4 linked regions of the Caenorhabditis elegans genome follow. The protein of the gene in region 1 purifies or fractionates together with the protein of each later gene. This does not show direct contact. Each region holds a gene or a part of one and is shown on either strand. Other genes may lie near its edges.

Region 1 (5,262 bases):
GACACTTTGACTACACGCGAACTCATTTTTCAGCATAAAAAATTGTTCAAAATATGCTTGATCACCTTTTGAAAACAAAACTTTCGTCCAAACTTAACAACTTTGTTTACTCTCTGCTTTGAAAAAGAACACGCTATTTTAGTATCTACTCTCCCTTGATTAACTTCTGTTTTCCAAGAAACTCCAGAAGGAGTCGAAGAGTTTGATAATGGAAAAGAGTTGGCATGTTTCTAAATTGGCAAAATTACAGACAAAATGCTGGAAAAGTGAAGTAGTTAAATATTTATGCCACGCTGTGAGCAATTAAGAAGAAGCTACACGTTCAGAATGGCGAGAAACGCTCTCAAGTCGTTCTCAGCGTGTCGAGTCTTCCAAAATTATTTTAAACTGGGAACCTCTTCATAATAATGTTGGATAAAAGTGCTTTCTATGTTTAAATAGGGGTCGAAACTCGTGTAATCTTCATAACCACGTCTCGATTGACTTCTGGAAAATGTGGGGATGTGACGTCACGCATGATTATTCTATGAATCACAAAATCATTACAAAGTGATGCGCGGGACGTCCCCGAGAAAGAGAACCTGCACCGTCCTATATTAGGTATACGTCTAGAGATCAGTCTTTTCGCTAAGTCTTAAACGCATGGGTCTCGTCACGCTTACAATATATATACTCGTTAACGAGTTACTGTAATTAGAGTCTATATGGTTTTGCTACATCTTTTTATTTAAAATTCTTTGCAGTAATTTTTTATTCAATTTGAAAATTATAATACATCCGAGGCCAATAAAATAGAAGTAGTTACAGTAATATTAAATCGTTGTTAGCGTGGAAGATATGGCGAAAAGTCTCACGACGATTTTTCGGATTTCTAAAAAAGCTTCTACCAATCTCTAAATAAATTAAATATTTTCATTCAGACTGTACGAGCAAAACGGAATAGTTTAGTTGTATAATACAATTGTTGAAAATTGACTGCTCAAAAAATATTCGGTGGAACAAGAACAATATACAATTTTTCAAAACAATGAGTGCTCGGCCCAATTATTTCAAGCGCGGGATTTAATGACTTGCAATACGAATTTTAAATGATCACCAACCAAAAAAATAAAAACTCTCTGAAAACAAAAATCGCAGGAAAAAGTTGAATTTTCTTACGAAAACAGAGAATGGAGGGATTCTCTCTCTCGAAACTCATCGTCTTCTTCTTCTTCTATTTCGTGGATTCTTTTCAAATCCATCCAAGTGTGAAATCGTCAGCAAAACCATCATTCCATCTCTGTTGCTTCGGTCCCAAGACGATGAGCTTCTACTACAAGCTCCGCCCACTTTTCGGGGAATCTCTTCTTCTTCTTCTTCCGCACATGACGTGTGAAACAGATTGTACTCCCAATTATCATGTCATTGTTTGGTACTTCTATTGAAAGAAAAAGAGGAAATAAAGGAAGACAAGTCACGAAACATACCAGATGAGCAATTTTAAAAACAGAAAAGTGGAGAAAGCTCATCGTGGCGGAGCACAAATGAGCTCTGAAGATGGCCAAGATATTTTACGACATCACCACCCAGAAACAAGGAAAACGGTGTGGTTCTCGCACTAACATAAATACAAAAAAAAAAAAATAAATATGAGAGGGTGAAGTACATATTTTCTTTCCTGATTGTGAATACGAAGAACCTCATCTGAATATTTGATTAGCATGCAATTTTTCCATTTCGCAGATTTGTTCAGCTTTTCTTTAGAATTCTAGAACACTATTTATAATTTTATATTCAGATGTGAAACAGAAAAAAAATGTTAAAATGTGATCTACAAGAAAAATTAATGAGAAACTCGAAAATTCTCTAGACTGGCCACGACCATTGTCCCTTTGGAGCAGATTCGACGAGAGGCTCCCATGCTTTTGAATCAACAATTGCTCGTGTTGTCTCCAGTTCATATTCGGCCTGTAATTATTGAGCATTTAAAATATTGCAGTGGTATTTATTTTTGAAACGAAAATTTTGTTATTCGGTGCAAAAATGATTTTAAAAAAATTTATTCTGATTTACGCGAAATATTTGTATCGGAAACTTTTAAACATTGACATATTAGAAACATCGTAGTCTTCGTGAACGCTGAGACCCGAAGAACTCGGGGGATTGCCCCGCCCACAGAACCGTGGCTTGCAATACGCCCATTTCTGCAACTGCCGCACGGTTTTAAAACTGTATTTTTATCAATAGAGCGAGGATTAACAAGAAAAAATGATTTTAAAACCGTGCGGCAGTTGCAGAAATGGGCGTATTGTAAGCCACGGTTCTGTGGGCGGAGCCAATCCCCCGAGTTGGTAATCCCCCCAGTTGGACATCCCCCGAGTTCTTCGGGTCTCTGAACGCTTTCAAATGAAAGCAACATTATGAAATATTTATAAATTCATTATTTTCATAGATATTCGATTATTTAACATTGAAACTTGACGCACCTGTTCGATGACTTCTTCGATTTGTCCCATTCCAATTTTCTCCTCAAGCTTCTTAATGTCGTTTTCGGCTTGAACAAGAGCCAAACGCTGCTTTACCACCTAAAAACATATTGCATAAGATTGCGGTAGAAACAATAATAATTTCTTACAGCTTCAGTATACTTGCGGTAAGCAGCATCCCGTGGAATTTGTTCAAGGGCGCGGAGAATTCTGCCATACACAACAGTCAACGCACGATGTGGATGCTCATTGACAAAAAGTCCAGTAATTCCTGTAGTCTTCTTGTGGAAATCCTCGGAAACCTTGCTCCTGGCCTTGAAACGGTTGATGTAAGGGTTCTCGTACATGGATCTCTGTTGTGTGGCACGAGCCACCGCCGTACGCAAGAAGCGGGACGACATCACCTGAAAAACAAATTTGAAAAATATTTATGAAAGAAAAACGCGAGTTTATTGCTTAAAAACTTATAAATCCGTTTCTAAGCGCGTTGCTTATCCATAACATATTTTAATTTCAATAAAACTTGTGATCAAGAAAGCGTTGAAAAGGTTTAAGAGTATAAAATCAAAGAAAATGTGTTTTTAAAAACAAAATAAATAAAAATCTGGTTAAAAATTAAACTGGGCAACGGAGTGTCGTTGCGCGCCTTGTTTATCAGTTGTTGAAAAATCGGCGCGTAGTTCAAATTTAGGTAGTGAAAAGTTTCCAATTGTTTTTACTAAATATATTTGCAACATCTCTTTGAGTAAAACAAACAAAATCATTAAATCTCTCCAAATTAGATCATGAATATAAAAATATAGAAAATAACCATTCTCGAGGCTAAAAAACTTTAAAATTTCTCTGCGTCTCTCTTTTAAAGCATTACAATACACTGTCCCTCAATCGGAGTGTCGTTACCGCGTGCAGTTTAGTGCTCCACGAATTAAATTTTTTTCGCATTATTTTTTATCCTTTTTTGTTTTGCTCTTACATTTTATTGAAAAAATACGTTATTTTCCTTTTCAGCTTGAAACTGGTCGACTTTTTATTTTGCAATCGGTAAAAAGCTATGCCTTCTTGTCTCAAAACGATCTCAAACTCGTAAAGAAAAGTTTTATATTATTGTATTGTTCCATTCAAATATTCTAAACTTTATTTAGAGCTTGTTTTACTAAAAATGTGTCATCATTTTGGACGCTCAGTTATCAACCATCATAAAAGTTGCAAGCATGGCTGGTTTGAAAAAAAAACTATTTACATAGCCCTTTTTGGTTTGAAGGAATACACAAAAATGCTTTCTTAAAATATTTTTTCTCAAAAGTTTCAACCATGAAATGTGGTTTCAATTCGCTTAATTTTTTCTGATCAAGATGATTCACTTGATTGAAAACATATGTCATGTTTGTTAATTAAACTGGTAGCATTACATTTTAGACCTCCATGCTTGGCTAGAAAACTAGACTCGATGAATCTACATGTTATATCAGCGTTCTCGTTTGTTTTCATTTATCTCCGTCTACAAAAAAGTCATGCCATCGCAAGTAATAAAAAATGCTCTCTTCGAAAAATTTCCTTTTCGGCAGGTTCTGGTCGAGGACACAAGAGACCTCTGATAAGAGTTGCTGTGGGTACGAAGGACGTTTTTCTCTATTTCTATACTCCATTTTTCTTTTCATTTCATTTGAATTCGATCCTCCACAAGGTCGATATGGGGTGATGGGGCGGAGCCATCGTTCTTTTTTCCCTTTTTCTTTTCCTCCATTTCATCTCTTTTTACTACTCCATATCGCCCTTTCACCCCGTCGACAGACGCGCCTGTTTACTATCCTATCTCTCGCACTTTTTGCAGACGGAAATTTATTTCTTTTTTTTTTTGAAACAATTATTTTTGCAGGTAGTTTATCTTGGGGAGAAGATGGCTCAGCATCCGCTCGTTCAACGGCTTCTCGATGTCAAATTCGACACGAAACGATTTGTGGCTATTGCTACTCATGGGCCAAAGAATTTCCCTGACGCAGAAGGTCGCAAGTTCTTTGCTGATCACTTTGATGTTACTATTCAGGTAAAATTTGTTTAGAATTAAAATTTTGATTATAGTTGTTTGGTTTATTGGAAATCCGAAGAATCCGAAATTGAAATATTTGTATAATTTATTAAATTTTTCCCAACACTAAACGAATTACAACCTATATTACAACAATTATTCAAAAAAAATTCTCAACCAAGAATGCAACTTCAAATTAATTTTGAATATTTTGAAAGTATTTTATTTCATAGGTTCTCTTTGGATAATCTTTCAAGAAATTTATTGCACTTGAAAACCAATGAGTTTCTTGAAAAATGGTCCGAACCTATAAAATTGAATATTTTTAAAAATATCCAGCATGTATTCGAAGCGTCTCTGAAACATGTTTGTATTCTTTACAATTTATTTTTGAGAATTCATTTTGAGATATTGAAAACTGGGTGTTTTCAATTTGGTGCATTTTCATCCCTCATTCAACCATATTTCATTTTCCAGGCTTCAATCCTGTACATGGTCGTTGTGTTCGGAACAAAATGGTTCATGCGTAATCGTCAACCATTCCAATTGACTATTCCACTCAACATCTGGAATTTCATCCTCGCCGCATTTTCCATCGCAGGAGCTGTCAAAATGACCCCAGAGTTCTTTGGAACCATTGCCAACAAAGGAATTGTCGGTGAGTACAATCAAAGAGAGTGTACCAAAGTACTAACGTTCTCTGATCAACCTGATTTTGATAGTGTCAGAACAATTAGTAGTCAGCATTATCGTGTTATCAAAAGTTGACGG
Region 2 (4,710 bases), on another chromosome or scaffold:
TGGAAAAAAAATAAAAATTTTGAGATTTTTGGGGGAATTCTGGGAGAAAATCGATGATTTAGTGGGAATTTTGGTCATTTTTCAGCGTTTTTCAGCTTTTTTAAATCATTTTTTCCAGTTTTCAATCATTTTTAAATCGATTTTCATCAATTTTCCAGCCAATTTTACCTTTGGAGACGTCAAATATTTGGTAAAAAACACGTCGTTACTGGATCCTTTTTGCTGCTTTTTCTGTCGATTTTCCAGAGCTTCTTCCTCTTCGGAGGAGAGTTTTTCCAGCTTATTCGACGTCATTAGGGTGAGAACTGCTGTCAAATCCTGAAAAAAAGGGATTTTTGGCGATTTTCAGTTAGAATTTGTGGAATTTCAGCGATTTTTCCGGCCAAAAAACCTCAATTTTCAGTGATTTTCAGCGAAAAATTACCGTTTTAAACGTCAAAAACTTCTCCTTTTCGTATATTGAATTCGGATTTGACATGAATTTTTGAAGGGACCAAAACTGGCGATACATCTCGGGAGTTACTTGGATTTCTCTGAAAAATGAGCAAATATTCGAAAAATCATGTAAAAAATGCTCAAAACTGCGATTTTCTAGCTTAAAAAGTCAATTTTCAGTACGAAAACCGTCTGAAATCGCTGAAAATCCAAGTTTTTCAATTAAAAAACCATTTGGTCTGCTAATTTGTAGTTTGTAGTCTAGCAGACCCATTCTCTACAACACCACATGGGTCTGCTAAATCGAAACTTGTAGTTTGTAGTCTAGCAGACCCATTCTCTTCAAAACCACATGGGTCTGCTAAATCGAAATTTGTAGTTTGTAGTCTAGCAGACCCAAAAAATTCAGGTAAATGATATTTTTCAGTGGAAATTTCTCGCTTTTTTCCGATTTTTCCGTACTTTGAGTTATCCTCTTCGATTTCTCCAGTTTCCATATCCTCTGCTCCTTCCGTAGGTGTTGGAGCCGATGACGTGGCAGCGAGAAGAGCTTCACCGTCGGTTTCAGACTGAAATTTTGCGATTTTTTGCGATTTTTCAGTCCAAAAACCGAAAAAATACCTCGTCGTAGTTGGTAACGTTAAGCGTGTTGAAGTGTCCCATAAAGTTTACACCGGATTTTTCGGTTAGCGGGAGGAATCTGGAAAAAATTGAGTTTTTCGCAGGAAATTTTGGGATTTTTCGAAAATGTTTCGCTTTTTACCTCGAGAGAAAGAACATAATTCTTCCGCAGAACGATGTTTCAGCGGTTCTACTCAAGCGGCGGAGCAAATCGTTGCAGAAGCGTAGAATATTGTTCTGGGCGGTTTCAATGAAGCCGGGCTGCAAAAAATCCGCTTTTTATCGGGAAAATTCTTTGAAAACCGGCTTTTTACCTGCTTAAACTCGTTCATATTCTCTTCTACTATGCTGAAAATCTGCTTACACTCCTCAATTGAGCTCATCTCCAAGAGGTCCTGTAGAGTGCTCAGGGGAGTGTTTTTGGAGCACAAACCTGCAAAAAACTCATTTTTAAACGAAATTTCGAGAAAATAATTACCAAGCTTGGAGCAATTCATCACAAAATGAAAATGCCGCCTTGCAAGCTCTTCCTTGGTGGCTGAAGGCTGCTCGGCGACCTTGAATCCCCGCTTTTTCAGAAACCCGTCGACTTTTAGAAGCACAAATTCGTCGTCTTTCCTGTAAAATTGCATTATTTATCTGATAATTCTTTTAAAAACTCACGCAGTCTTTTTTTCCGCCTTCACAACCTCCTTTAACCCGTCCAAATCCCGATTTTCGATAACTGTCTCCATTTTTTGACCTAAAACATTAAAATTGACGGGTGAAAGTTGAGAGATTAACGACTAAAATTTTTTATTTGTTTATTTTCGCAATTTTAAAATAGAAAATCAATAGAAATCGGTTCAATTTAATGAAAAAATTAATTAATTCGAAAAAAAAATTATCGAAAAAAAATCACTTGCAACGAAGCTCCGAAATAACGAGGCGCGTGTTGTTTACCGTAAATCAAACTTCAGCCAATTTTCTTATTTTTTTTTCACAAAATACTCATCCGGCAACGTTTCTGGTGAAAAATCTGAATTCATCAAGTTCTAAGGAGTATTTTAACATAGTAAACTTTGAAAAAACATATTATCTATCTGCTACATGGCGTTAGTTAAAAATAAAATACTTCAATTTCCCTTTAATCGATTCCTATGAAATTTTTCTTTAGTTTATTAGAAAAAACCATCATAAAATGTGTATTTTAACTTCAAAAAATTAGGTTCTCAATGCTTGAAAGCTTGAGAAAATTAATTTCCAAAAATTTGTTCACAACGATGCTCCGAAATAACACCCTGCGTGTTGTTTAGCGACACCGCCGAATTCATAATTTTCCTTTTCATTCGGTTTTCTTTGATTTTTAGCTGGAAATTCCGATTTTTTTTGCATTTTAAGCACAAAAATCAGCTTTATGAGGTTTTCTGACAGTTTTAATGCGTAAATTTGTAAAATAACTCGAGAAATCGCTTGGAATCTGATTTTTGAGAATTTTTTGCATTATCTTTGTTTTTGCCGGATTTTTAAGAGTTTTCAATGATAATTGTGCATTTTTGCCTAATTTTTTGCTTGTTATAAGTGACTTTATGTAAAAAATCTCAAGAAAATCATTTAAAATCCGAGAAATTGAGCTAAAAATCGATATTTCCCGAAAAACATGTGAAAACTTGTATTTTTTCAGTTTTTCTTCAGCTTTTCCCCAGAATTCCCCACTAATTTTCTTTTATTTTTTTCTTTTCAGGTAACGAAATGGCCAGTCAAGCCGCCTCAAAAGCCGTCACCTTCGCCTACAACGGCACGATCGCCAGCACGCTTCGCAAGTTCGCATGGAGCAACTTGTGGGGAGGACGCGAGTACGGGCTCCAATTCCACGACACCTACTTTGAGCCGGCTCCAGAAGTCACCGAGGCTCTCAGACGCCTTAATCTCCAGGAGCCACACGTTTTCGATCAGAGAAAGGTGAGAAAATCGATTAAAAATTGGAATTTTCAATCTTTTTTTACTTCAGATCCGTCTTTCACGTGCCCACACTTTGGCTCTCCACGGCGAGAAGCTTCCAAAGGCTGAATGGACTCAATGGGATCAGGTAGCTTTTCACTCGAAATTCAACTTTAAAAAATCTATTTTTCTTCAGGAATCGTGGTACTTGAAGCCATATTTGGACGAGATCGAGGCAGAGAAGAAGGCTCGCGCCGAGACATCCGGACTCATTCCACCATACCAAATGAAGCAACATTAGATTCTTCGAATTCTTCAAAATTATAATTTTCCGCGCCCTTTTTTTTCGTCTTTTTCTGTTAAATCACCTCTCTCAACCACGTTTTTCTCGGCATTCTAGCGGGAAAATCGTGTGAATTTTGAAATTGTGAGTAAATTTTGAGTTAGAAATTCGATTTTTTTTTGTTGTTTCACAGTCAAATCAAACGCGAATTTTTTCAGAATTTCAGACAAATCAGATGATTCAAGTGTCTGCTAGGCTACAAACTACAAATTTCGATTTAGCAGACCCAAGTGATTTTGAAGAGAATGGGTCTGCTAGGCTACAAACTACAAATTTCGATTTAGCAGACCAATGGGTTTTTTAATTGAAAAACTTGGATTTTTTGCGTTTTCAGACGGTTTTCTCACTGAAAATTAACTCCTTAGCCTGGAAAATCTCGATTTAAAGCAATTTTTACAAAATTTTCACTTCTAATCTCCAAATATTCCTCATTTTTAAAAAATATTTTTCAGAGAAATCCAAGTGACTCCAGAGATGTATTGAAAATTGGTCTGCTAGACTACAAACTACAAACTTCGAAACTTCAAATCGTGACATTTTATTCGATAACCAGCCGATGACCGCGCCTCCGGCGCGGCCAACGACTGGCGGAGTTTAAAATGTATAACAAATAGATGTCCTTTTAATCATTCAAAAATGTCTCATTAAAAAAAATTGAAACTTCATCGATTAAATCGCATTTTCTCCTTCCATGGTATACTATTCAGAAAATTCAAAGAGACAGTTAGAATGTTCTGATTTTTCTACTACACATTATCATTATCAGGCTTTCGAAAAAATTCCACAGGGTTACAGTTTTTTTAATAAGTTAACAACTTTCCTTAACTGGAGAAGTCTGAATAATTAACTACTAATAGTAAGTTCTTTGAATATAGATGTAACGAAACAAATAAAAACTCCTACAGTTTTAGGAGGTTGTAGAGCATTTCAGAACTTTTTTAAATTTTCCAGATGATTCTAGAACAGTCTAGAATTTTCTTGAAACTTCCAGAAGGTGCTGAAACAAAAAAATTGATTCCAGAACAAAAATTTGGATTTCCCGCCAAATGTTTTCCTCAGAAAATTTGAATTTCCCGCTAAAATTTCTTTTCTCATAAATTTTGAAGTTCCCGCCCATATTTTTAAGGGTCTCACCACGATAGGTCTCGCCAGTTCCAGGTGGTACTTAAGCTAACAAAAAGTTTCTCAGAAAATTTGAATTTCCCGCCAAAAATTTTTTCTCAGAAATTTGAATTTCCCGGCAAAATGTTTTTCACTGAAAATTTGAAATTCCCGCCAAAATGTTTTTCACTGAAAATTTGAATTTCCCGCCAAAATTTTTTTCACTGAAAATTTGAATTTCCCCCAAAATTTTTCTCACAGAAAATTTGAATTTCCCGCCAAAACTTTTT
Region 3 (5,627 bases), on another chromosome or scaffold:
AATTTTTTCCTAATAATTTATCTCACGATTTCTTTAAAACTTATGCGTTACATTTTTACATGTGAGTTTTTAACAAAAATACACATATTTTTTATCGAAACAACTATGAAAAATCGTTTAAAATTCCACATCAACAAAAGTTTGAAAACACACAGTAATCTTTAAAGGCGCACACCTATTCGCATGTAATAAAAAATTAGGGACCTGGAACCGTATTTTTGGAGCTAACATCGCAAAATTTCGCGCCTGGGTAGTATACATCATAATATTTCACGCGCAAGTTCCACAACTTCAGGTTGTCTCAGAATTTGTGAACACCGGTCAAATGGTTCGTGTTCGAATAGGATATTCCTCTAAAAAACCATCCGTCAATATTACAAGTGGTCCATTATACGGTTATAGGTATCGGTGAGTGAAATGATTTTTAGATCGAGGTGCAAACGCGCTCCACGGTCAAATGTAAAGGCTCCACCCTCTAAAGTTGGGTCCCGTTAGGTATTGGCGGCAAAACCATAATTTCAAACATTTTCAAGCATTTTTAAATATGTTTATGTTGTTTTAAGGCTCTTTTAGTTGAAGTGGTGTGCAAAAAAAATTATTGACGTTATTAAGAGTTTGAATTCACAAGTTTTCGCCAATTCCTAACGAGACCCAACTATTTGGGGGCGGAGCGTTTTCATTTGGCTATAGAGCGCGCTTTCACCTCGATTTCAAAAACGAAGTTTTAAGAACCCGCGTGATATACCATTCAAGCTTTACAGGGTTCAACGAATCGATTTTCATATGGGTCGTAAAAATGAGAACGGAAGTGAGCATACAATAAATGGACGACGATTTCCGATGGAAGTACAATTAGTTGCATATAATACAGATTTGTATCCAAATTTTACGAGCGCCTCCAAGTCTCCACATGGAATTGCAATTTTATCAGTTTTGGTAGATGTGAGTTGCTTCGTTAGAAATTGTGTTAAATCTCAAATTTATATATTTTAGTTTGGACCTGAAACTAATCAAGAACTCATCAAACTAACAATTGCAACAGCTAGCATCAGTTACAAGGATCAACGTGTCCAACTTGCTGATTTCGAACCTTGGCGACTTCTTCCATTCACTAGAGATATTATCACTTATGAAGGATCTCTCACTTCTCCTGGATGCCATGAGACTGTCACTTGGATTATTCTGAATCAACCTATTTTTATCAAAAAGGAGCATGTAAGTTTTTTAATAGTCTATAAAAAACTTTGATTCTAAATTTACAGTTCGAGGAGTGGTCACACTTATATCTGAGCATGGAAGGCGCCGAGAAAGTCCCCGTTGCCCCAAATTTCAGGAAAATTCAAGAAACTAACAATCGACTAGTAAGAACAAATATTCAGCACAAGGTTTGGATATTTCTTTCATAAAAATATCTGAAGAAAATTATTTGAATTCCAGATGAGCTACAATTGCAATGTCTCAGTGAATAAAATCCACTATCGTGCAAATCATTTGCCACTGCCAAAACAACAGCATTCTTCTCGTCGCCACAATAATCCATTTGTCTGAAAAGAAAACTCCCGACTTTGCTCAAAGATTTCTCACGAATATTTTTCAAATTGTTCTTGTTTTGCAATAATTTTTTCGACTTTTTATACAATTCTGAAACTACACTTGCGCAAAACATGTCTCGTTTTGTTAAACTAAACAACTCGAAGCACACACACAAATGGATGACGTTAAATATGATGATTAATTGTATCGTCCAGCATTGTTTAGTGCTTCTCACGGTCAGCCTCGAATCCAACTCCTGGAACAAATTGCTCCGCCTTGTTGTGGAACAATGAGTGATTTCCATCGGACCATGGGAATGGCTGAAATTGAATATTTATTAGGAATGCATTTTCAGAATGGATTGATTGATTTTCAAGAAAAAAATGTTGGCGATTCTAAATTGCAAAAAAGTAGGAAAGTTTTTGCTAAAATCTTTAATTTTGTCAACTTTTCTGTGTTGCAAACGTCGGAAATGAGTATTTATTTTATTATCATCCTTTTTTCATGTTTTGGTTGTTAATTTTACGTTATTCCGTCGATTTAGGTCAATTTTAGTCTGATAGACCAAAACAATAATTCAATAAAACTGTATTCCAGCAGCTGCAACTAGAACATGTTGGCTAAATTGGAGATTTAGCTAAAATTTTTCTTACTCTTTTTTTGAAATTTTTAACCATCTTGGGAATTTATTGAGACCAATCGTTTTTTTTAATTACTGAGAAAACGCCAAATTATAAAATTGTATAATCATTTAAAAGCTTGATTGTAGAAATTAAAATTCCAAAAAAGCGACTGTTTTTTTTTTAATTCGTTTTGAATATTATTAAACTTCACAGTCATCCTTTTTAGTTTGAAAAATGCCAGAAAGATGACATTTTTAAACAGTTTGCCGATAACTTCTTTAATGAGGAAGACATGAAAGCTAAATAACATTTTTTAAGTAAAATTTTAAACTATGGCAGATTTCAAGATAAAAACGAATATTTTACCTTGTTGCGAACGTTCAAGAAGGCGTACTCGACGTGCTCTGGGCGTTCGTGGCTCATGTGTTTTTTGTGATCCTTGAAGGCGGCATACATGGTAAGAGCCAAGCATGGAATCGAAGCAATGAAGAAGATTTTCTTCCAGGTCTCGCTAGCATCTGAAAAATATATTTTAATCTTTGAACATCAAAATAGAAACTATTTATTTTAAAAAAAAACACTTACTGTGAGCTTGCTTGAGTGGAGTGACATATGACTCTTTGAATCCTTCGACATTGTTGGATCCGTAAAATGATCCTGAGGATTTGCGTTGGAAGGTCTTGACGACCGAGCGGGTAGCTGGTTGAGCGAGACGGTTCATGTCGGATACCTTTAAAATTTGAAATGAAGTTGAGATTTGTGAGAAAAACGGAACGCGGGGGGAGAAGGAGGGGGAACAAACTTGTTTACGTGAAAATTGAGAAAAAAAGAGAAAAATCAGGTGATTTGATGAAAAAGTACAAAATTGTGATTTTTAAATCAGAAAAAGCAATAAAACAAACTCACAAAATAAAAACAAATGAGGTTTTTCTTACGTCTTAAGAAACCTAATAATTGCTATGAAGAATTTTAGAAATTTAAACCCGACAATAATGATTGAATGACATGGTTGAACACTTGCAGATTTGAATTCGAAAAAGTGGAATTTCTAGTCGAACAATATCGATTTACGGCTGCGGTTTATATGCTATTGTGGTTAAAAAATTCATAATTTGTAATTTAATCATTTGAAACTCAAAAATAATCAATAAAAGCACTGTTTGTGAAGTAAAACCACAGAAACGCACGTTTCCTCAAGAGAAAATAACGGAGAGGCCGTCTTCGCTGCGAGACCAGCCGGTGAAATGGCGTGCGCCTTTAAGGTGTGTGAAATAATTGTGCTGCAACATGCTGTCTAATTTGCCTATTATCTCCGTTAGAAATGCTTCAAATTTTCTGAAACTTTGTTACCTGTTAAAACATGACATGTAGAACGAACACATAAAAAATTATTAATATCGATTCATTGGCTAAAAAGTTATTGACGGAAATAAGTATCAAGTTTTGGTTCGATTCTTGCCCTTTTTGAGTTGCTTGACGGAGAATTGCGGAACCCACGAGATGTCTGCCGCCTTGCAGGTGGCCACTATATAAGCAACAACTGGTCCTGGCTGTCTCGTTCTTCCGAGAACATATACTAAAATTGGAACAATACAGAGAAGATTAGCATGGCCCCTGCGCAAGGATGACACGCAAATTCGTGAAGCGTTCCAAATTTTTTTTAAAATTTCGCGTAACCTACCGGAAGCTCGTAAAATTTTTGCCTTTTGAAGATTTTACGACTGATCCTCTAATGTACAGAGTAATAATTCGTTTGTCCTGAATCAATCAATTCACAAAGAAGTCGAGACTTTTATGAGTCGTCCTGTAGGTGTCTATTTCTTTCAGAATTCTTTTTCAATATATGTGAAAAATAGATAAATACAACACGTATATTAAGAGCAATAAACATTTTTCAAAAAAAAAAGCAAAAGGAACAAAAATTACAGGGAAAGCGAAAATTCAAGAAATTTATGAGTTCTTCTGTGGAACCTTGATGGTGACAGTCTTTACTTCAGTGTATGCCTCAAGACCATATTCTCCGAGTTCGCGACCGATTCCTAAAAGAAAAAGTATTTTTTAACTTTGGCATGGAGAAATTTTAATAATAAATTAGCTTACCGGACTGCTTGAATCCTCCGAATGGAGCAGCAGCATCGAACACATCGTAACAATTAACCCAGACAGATCCAGCTCTGGTTGCGTTGGCAATATGAAGTGCCTTATCAATATCCTTAGTCATAACTCCAGCAGCCAATCCATAAATAGTGTTATTAGCCTTTTCAACTAATTCTTCCATTGTGTCGAATCTAATGATAGTCATAACAGGTCCAAAGATTTCTTCTTGAGCAATAGTCATCTGATCCTTAACATTAGCGAAGATAGTTGGCTTCACAAAGTGTCCTTGATCTCCGTGTTTGGCTCCTCCAGTCACCAATTGAGCTCCATCCTTCTTTCCAGCAGCGATATATTTTAAAATAGTCTCAACCTGCTTTCCGTCAACTTGTGGTCCTTGAGTAGTTTTCAAATCAAATGGATCTCCGATAACAGCCTTCTCGGCCAATTCCTTGGAACGAGCTACGAAATCATCATAGATCTTTCCTTCGACAAATGTTCTGGATCCGGCACAACAGCACTGTCCTTGATTGAAGAAGAGTCCGTGGTTGGCTTGATGAACGGAATCATTGAGATCAGCGTCAGCGAAAATGATGTTTGGTGATTTTCCTCCGAGTTCCAAAGTGACCTTCTTGACATTCGATTCTGCAGCAGCCTTCATAACAAGTCTTCCAACTTCAGTTGATCCAGTAAAAGCGACTTTGTCAACATCCATGTGCGACGAAATAGCTTGTCCGGCAGTATGTCCGTATCCTGGAATTTATTTATTTGAGAAACTCACAATTTTTACAAAACTGACCTGGAATGATATTAACCACTCCATCTGGGAATCCAGCTTCTTTTGTGAGAGCAGCCACGTGAAGGGCTGAAAGTGGAGTCTGTTCGGCGACCTTCATAACGACTGTGTTTCCCATAGCCAACGCTGGTCCAAGTTTCCAAGCTTGCATAAGAAGTGGGAAGTTCCATGGAATAATCTGTCCGCAGACTCCCACCGGTTCGTGACGAGTGTAAGTGAAGTAGTCACCCTCGATTGGAATAGTCTTTCCGTGATTCTTGTCAGCCCATCCGGCGTAATAACTGTAATAAAGTTATTTTTTAATGTTAGCCATTTTTCCTTTTTTTACAATAAATTTTAATTTTTCTCATCAATACAAACAAAATTTGATTCAAAAAATTGCATTTTTTGGCTGTTAATTTTCTAAACAGTTTTTTTTGATTTACGGTTGTCCGGACAATCAAAAATTTTTGTTTTTCGATTTTTTTCTCTCATAAAATTGAGAATTCGAAATTATTTTTGTAGATCTCTTTGCTCATTTGGCAGTAAAGTTTTTCGTTTTTTCTGAGTTTTCTTCTTAATTACAGACTATTTTGGGATTT
Region 4 (3,444 bases), on another chromosome or scaffold:
CTTCCTTCTTCGCAACTTCAACTGAAGGAGCAACTGACTTCACAACCTGCAGCTCATCATCTTCCTCCTCCTCATCGCTACTAGGAACGGTTTGAACGCCTGGCGCCTTCTTGGCTGGCGTTTTTGCAGCTGGAGTCTTGACGACTGGAGTTTTTGCAGCACGAGTTGGTGTCTTTGGTGCTGGTGTATCCACAGTCGATTTGGTAGTTCGCGATGGAGTTTTTGGAGCCGGTGTTTTTGGAGCTGGAGTAGCACCTCCTGCTGCTAGTGATTTCTGAGCTCTAGTCTTTGGGGACCTGGCTGGTGTCTTCGGTGGAACAACGACTTCTTCGTCCTTCTCTGGCACATCGGCGACGACATTCTTCGCAGGAGTGTTCTTGGTGCTCTTTCTACCCATCTTAAAATAACAATTAAAAATTTTAAAACAAAAAGAAATTTGATAAGTATAAAGAAACGGAATGCAAACCGCAGATCATGAAAAAGAAAATCATCAGATAAATACATTGAATACACTTTACTCTAAATCGCAAAATTAAAAACGAAAATTAGGATTTTTAAAAACCAAGGATCTGATAAAGATGGAATCTACAAATAAATTCAAGCATGTCCAAGCGTTTATTTAAGAGCAGCTTGCAAACCGAATCCAGGTCCAGGCGGGGTTTCTTTGAGAGAAGTAAGCTCTCCGAATGGCTCAGCGGCTAGGCGCCCGGATCTTGGTCCAGCAGCTGGTTTACGTCCTGCTTTAAGATCGTCAAGAATCTCGTTCACATCCTGAAAACTAACATAATTTTGTTAACGCATTGATATTTTTATACCTTTGGTGTCAGGTCCTCGAAATAATCGTCGTTAATTTGAATCATTGGAGCATTGACACATGCTCCAAGGCACTCTACTTCCGCCAATGTGAAGAGTCCATCTTTTGTTGTTTCTCCGGCATGAATGCCAAGTTTCTTCTCAATAGTTTCCGTGATGGTTTCAGCTCCTCGAAGCATGCATGGGGTAGTTGCGCAGACCTGGAGGAAATACTTTCCTACTGGTTGCCTGTTGAACATGGTGTAGAAAGTGGCAACTTCATAAGCACGCATTCTTGGTACTTCTAAAATTTTAGCAACCTCATGCATGGCTGAAATTGGAAGCCAGCCATGTTGCCGCTGAGCCAAATCGAGAAGTGGAATAAGAGCACCAGCCTGAATAAAACTGATTGAAAAAACCAGCATTAAAGTATAATCTCACTTTATGTCCTTCTGGATAAATATCCATGATAGCCTTAATTCTCTCTTGATTTTCCGAAGTGAATTTGAATTTGACATTCAAATTATTTTCTTTAGTGTCTCGGTGAACCATCAATCCAGTAGCTCCGCCTCGCTTGATCACCATTTCACCAAGGCGTGACGCCTGGAGCAGCACGTTCGATGCCAACGACATCTTTTGCAGGCCGATCACCTGAAAATTGATTTCTTCATAAAAAAACGATAATTTATGATTTTTCACAAGAAAAAGCAACATCTTCTTAGGGTAGAACTACTGGTTATATGTAAATGAATACGCTGAATTAGAAAATAATATTATTTTCAACGGAAATTCATCAGGATAACTGGGAAAAGCTGAAAATAGGGCCTGAAAATGGGCGGACATTCAGAAGGGACTAGTTCCTTTCTTTTCGAAATCGCCGGCCATGGTGTATGTTTACGATAAACTAAGCGTGAGATGGCATATCGGAGTGTCGTTTTATTATTATTTTTTCGTTTTTTGTTTTTTTTTGTTTTCTTTGAAGAAATTTAAAGAAGAATTCTTCTTTAACTTTCACGCATATTTAAATTAGAAACCTATAGAATTTTCGAATCTTTTTAACTGCTTCTGATCACTATTAGTAGTAGAGCGCATATTAATTGTTTAATTTCATCAAAATTAAAGTTTTATAGATGTCAGAAAACTTCGGCGAAGCAACGTATGTTAGCGGACGCCATCGGAAAAACCCTGTACTCATTTACACAAGTCGAACAGACCGTAACAAAGTTTATGAATTTATGATCGCAACGAAATATAAGGTGAATTTTTCTTTAAATCAAGTATTTCTATATTTAATTAGTTTTCAGATACCTGGACTAGTTTCTTGGAAATGTGTATCATGCTCAAAAGTGAAGAATGGTTATCGAAATTTAGGTGCTGAACTGAAGCGGAAAGTTCCGTTGATCCTAGTAGACAACGATATCATCAAGGAAGATCCAGAGAGACCCCTCAATGCTGAGCATTTTTGTAACGGAAAAGGTCATCTCGAAGCAGTAGTTGATAGAGCTAGAATTGATTTTGTACATGTAAGTTCTTTATAAACCTGTTTCAAGTTGCATGGTGTTATATTCAGATGCATGGACACGAAGAACCGAATAGTGCACAAATTCGTGAAACCATTCAACATTTTGCAAAAGAAGCTGCATCCACAGCACCGATCCCATTGAACGGGAAAGAAAAACGAGAGGTACAACGGACACTCGGTGCGAAATGTCTACCGCTTTTACATGGTGTTAATAAGCGAAGAATGTGTAAAAAGAGAAAAGAAGCTACGCAAGCTCAATTTCGAGACAACGAAGAAGGAATATTGGAACATGGAGAAGGTTCTTCTTCTTCAGTTCAACATCAGCAGGTCAAAGATGACAGGTCATCGAACAAAATAAATGAAAAAACTGGGGAAGTTCAGGAAGATTTTCAAGAAACACCCAGAAAACGTCGGAAAGCAGCGAGCAAGTTTCCACCATTTTCATCTCCAACGCAACAGCCTCTTTTGGTACGACCATTGCCGCCCATGTATTGTAAGTTTTTACGATTCGATTCTTACATCAAGGACAACGTCTAGCTTTTCAGAATTTCATTCCTTTTCAAAAGTCTTCTGAAACGTTTATTTTTTCAGACGTCCGCACGGGCATGGCTTCGCAAGTTCTTCCACACCAGCATCATCATCATGATTCTCATCATCATTCAATAGATTATTATGAGGATGTAGAGATTGAAGAAGAAGCTAGAGAACACGTATTCGACGATGAAGAGCTCATTTCGGGTGACCAGCAACAAGTGGCGTATAGCATTGAACTTTAAAGTACATTTCTAGCCTTCATATTTTGTAACATTTGTTGGAATTTCACAGTTTTATGCAATTACATGTAATTAGATTCCCAATTTGTGCAAAGGCCGTCAACACGTGACATGAAGTCTGTTTCGCTTCTCTGCACCCTCCCGTTTCACCCATTCACATTATTTTTCACCATTCATCAGCTGGTTTTTTTGTTGCTTTTCTTTTCCGCCTCCCTGTCAATTGTTGTTTTGACGCAGTTTCCTTATTTTCTCCTTTTTAGTTTTTTTTCTCAAAAAAAAAAAATTTCAAAAAGTTTCACAATTAACGTATTTTCAACTTACGGTTCAGTCAGGTCCGAATATACTTTTCTTGAATTT

What was found.
Region 2: the proteins of ndua-5 (region 1) and T02H6.11 fractionate together in Caenorhabditis elegans (co-fractionation; one large-scale study listed by BioGRID). This does not show direct contact.
Region 3: the proteins of ndua-5 (region 1) and cox-6A fractionate together in Caenorhabditis elegans (co-fractionation; one large-scale study listed by BioGRID). This does not show direct contact.
Region 4: the proteins of ndua-5 (region 1) and nduv-2 fractionate together in Caenorhabditis elegans (co-fractionation; one large-scale study listed by BioGRID). This does not show direct contact.

Annotation. Positions count from the first base shown.
Region 1 is NC_003282.8:9,522,025-9,527,286, forward strand, and holds ndua-5 (putative NADH dehydrogenase [ubiquinone] 1 alpha subcomplex subunit 5), read right to left. Parts: upstream 2,876-5,262; 5' UTR 2,867-2,875; coding exon 2,615-2,866; intron 2,565-2,614; coding exon 2,466-2,564; intron 1,948-2,465; coding exon 1,846-1,947; 3' UTR 1,732-1,845; downstream 1-1,731. Other genes in the region: elo-1 (Long chain fatty acid elongase 1), read left to right, coding at 4,363-4,509, 4,969-5,149.
Region 2 is NC_003280.10:699,195-703,904, reverse strand, and holds T02H6.11 (Cytochrome b-c1 complex subunit 7), read left to right. Parts: upstream 1-2,779; 5' UTR 2,780-2,787; coding exon 2,788-2,997; intron 2,998-3,046; coding exon 3,047-3,124; intron 3,125-3,172; coding exon 3,173-3,277; 3' UTR 3,278-3,423; downstream 3,424-4,710. Other genes in the region: thoc-1 (Death domain-containing protein), read right to left, coding at 169-318, 425-533, 898-1,004, 1,057-1,135, 1,199-1,317, 1,371-1,489, 1,535-1,674, 1,720-1,790.
Region 3 is NC_003281.10:5,078,985-5,084,611, reverse strand, and holds cox-6A (Cytochrome c oxidase subunit 6A, mitochondrial), read right to left. Parts: upstream 2,887-5,627; 5' UTR 2,878-2,886; coding exon 2,742-2,877; intron 2,675-2,741; coding exon 2,523-2,674; intron 1,854-2,522; coding exon 1,755-1,853; 3' UTR 1,625-1,754; downstream 1-1,624. Other genes in the region: cah-1 (Putative carbonic anhydrase-like protein 1), read left to right, coding at 296-408, 762-942, 994-1,215, 1,263-1,406; alh-1 (Aldehyde dehydrogenase domain-containing protein), read right to left, coding at 4,107-4,195, 4,257-5,003, 5,050-5,327. UniProt on the Caenorhabditis elegans protein: Component of the cytochrome c oxidase, the last enzyme in the mitochondrial electron transport chain which drives oxidative phosphorylation.
Region 4 is NC_003283.11:13,624,125-13,627,568, forward strand, and holds nduv-2 (putative NADH dehydrogenase [ubiquinone] flavoprotein 2, mitochondrial), read right to left. Parts: upstream 1,444-3,444; 5' UTR 1,426-1,443; coding exon 1,234-1,425; intron 1,188-1,233; coding exon 816-1,187; intron 789-815; exon of another isoform or gene 772-788; coding exon 616-771; 3' UTR 501-615; downstream 1-500. Other genes in the region: F53F4.11 (Ribosomal L1 domain-containing protein), read right to left, coding at 1-397; F53F4.12 (Thioredoxin domain-containing protein), read left to right, coding at 1,923-2,048, 2,097-2,315, 2,363-2,807, 2,906-3,090.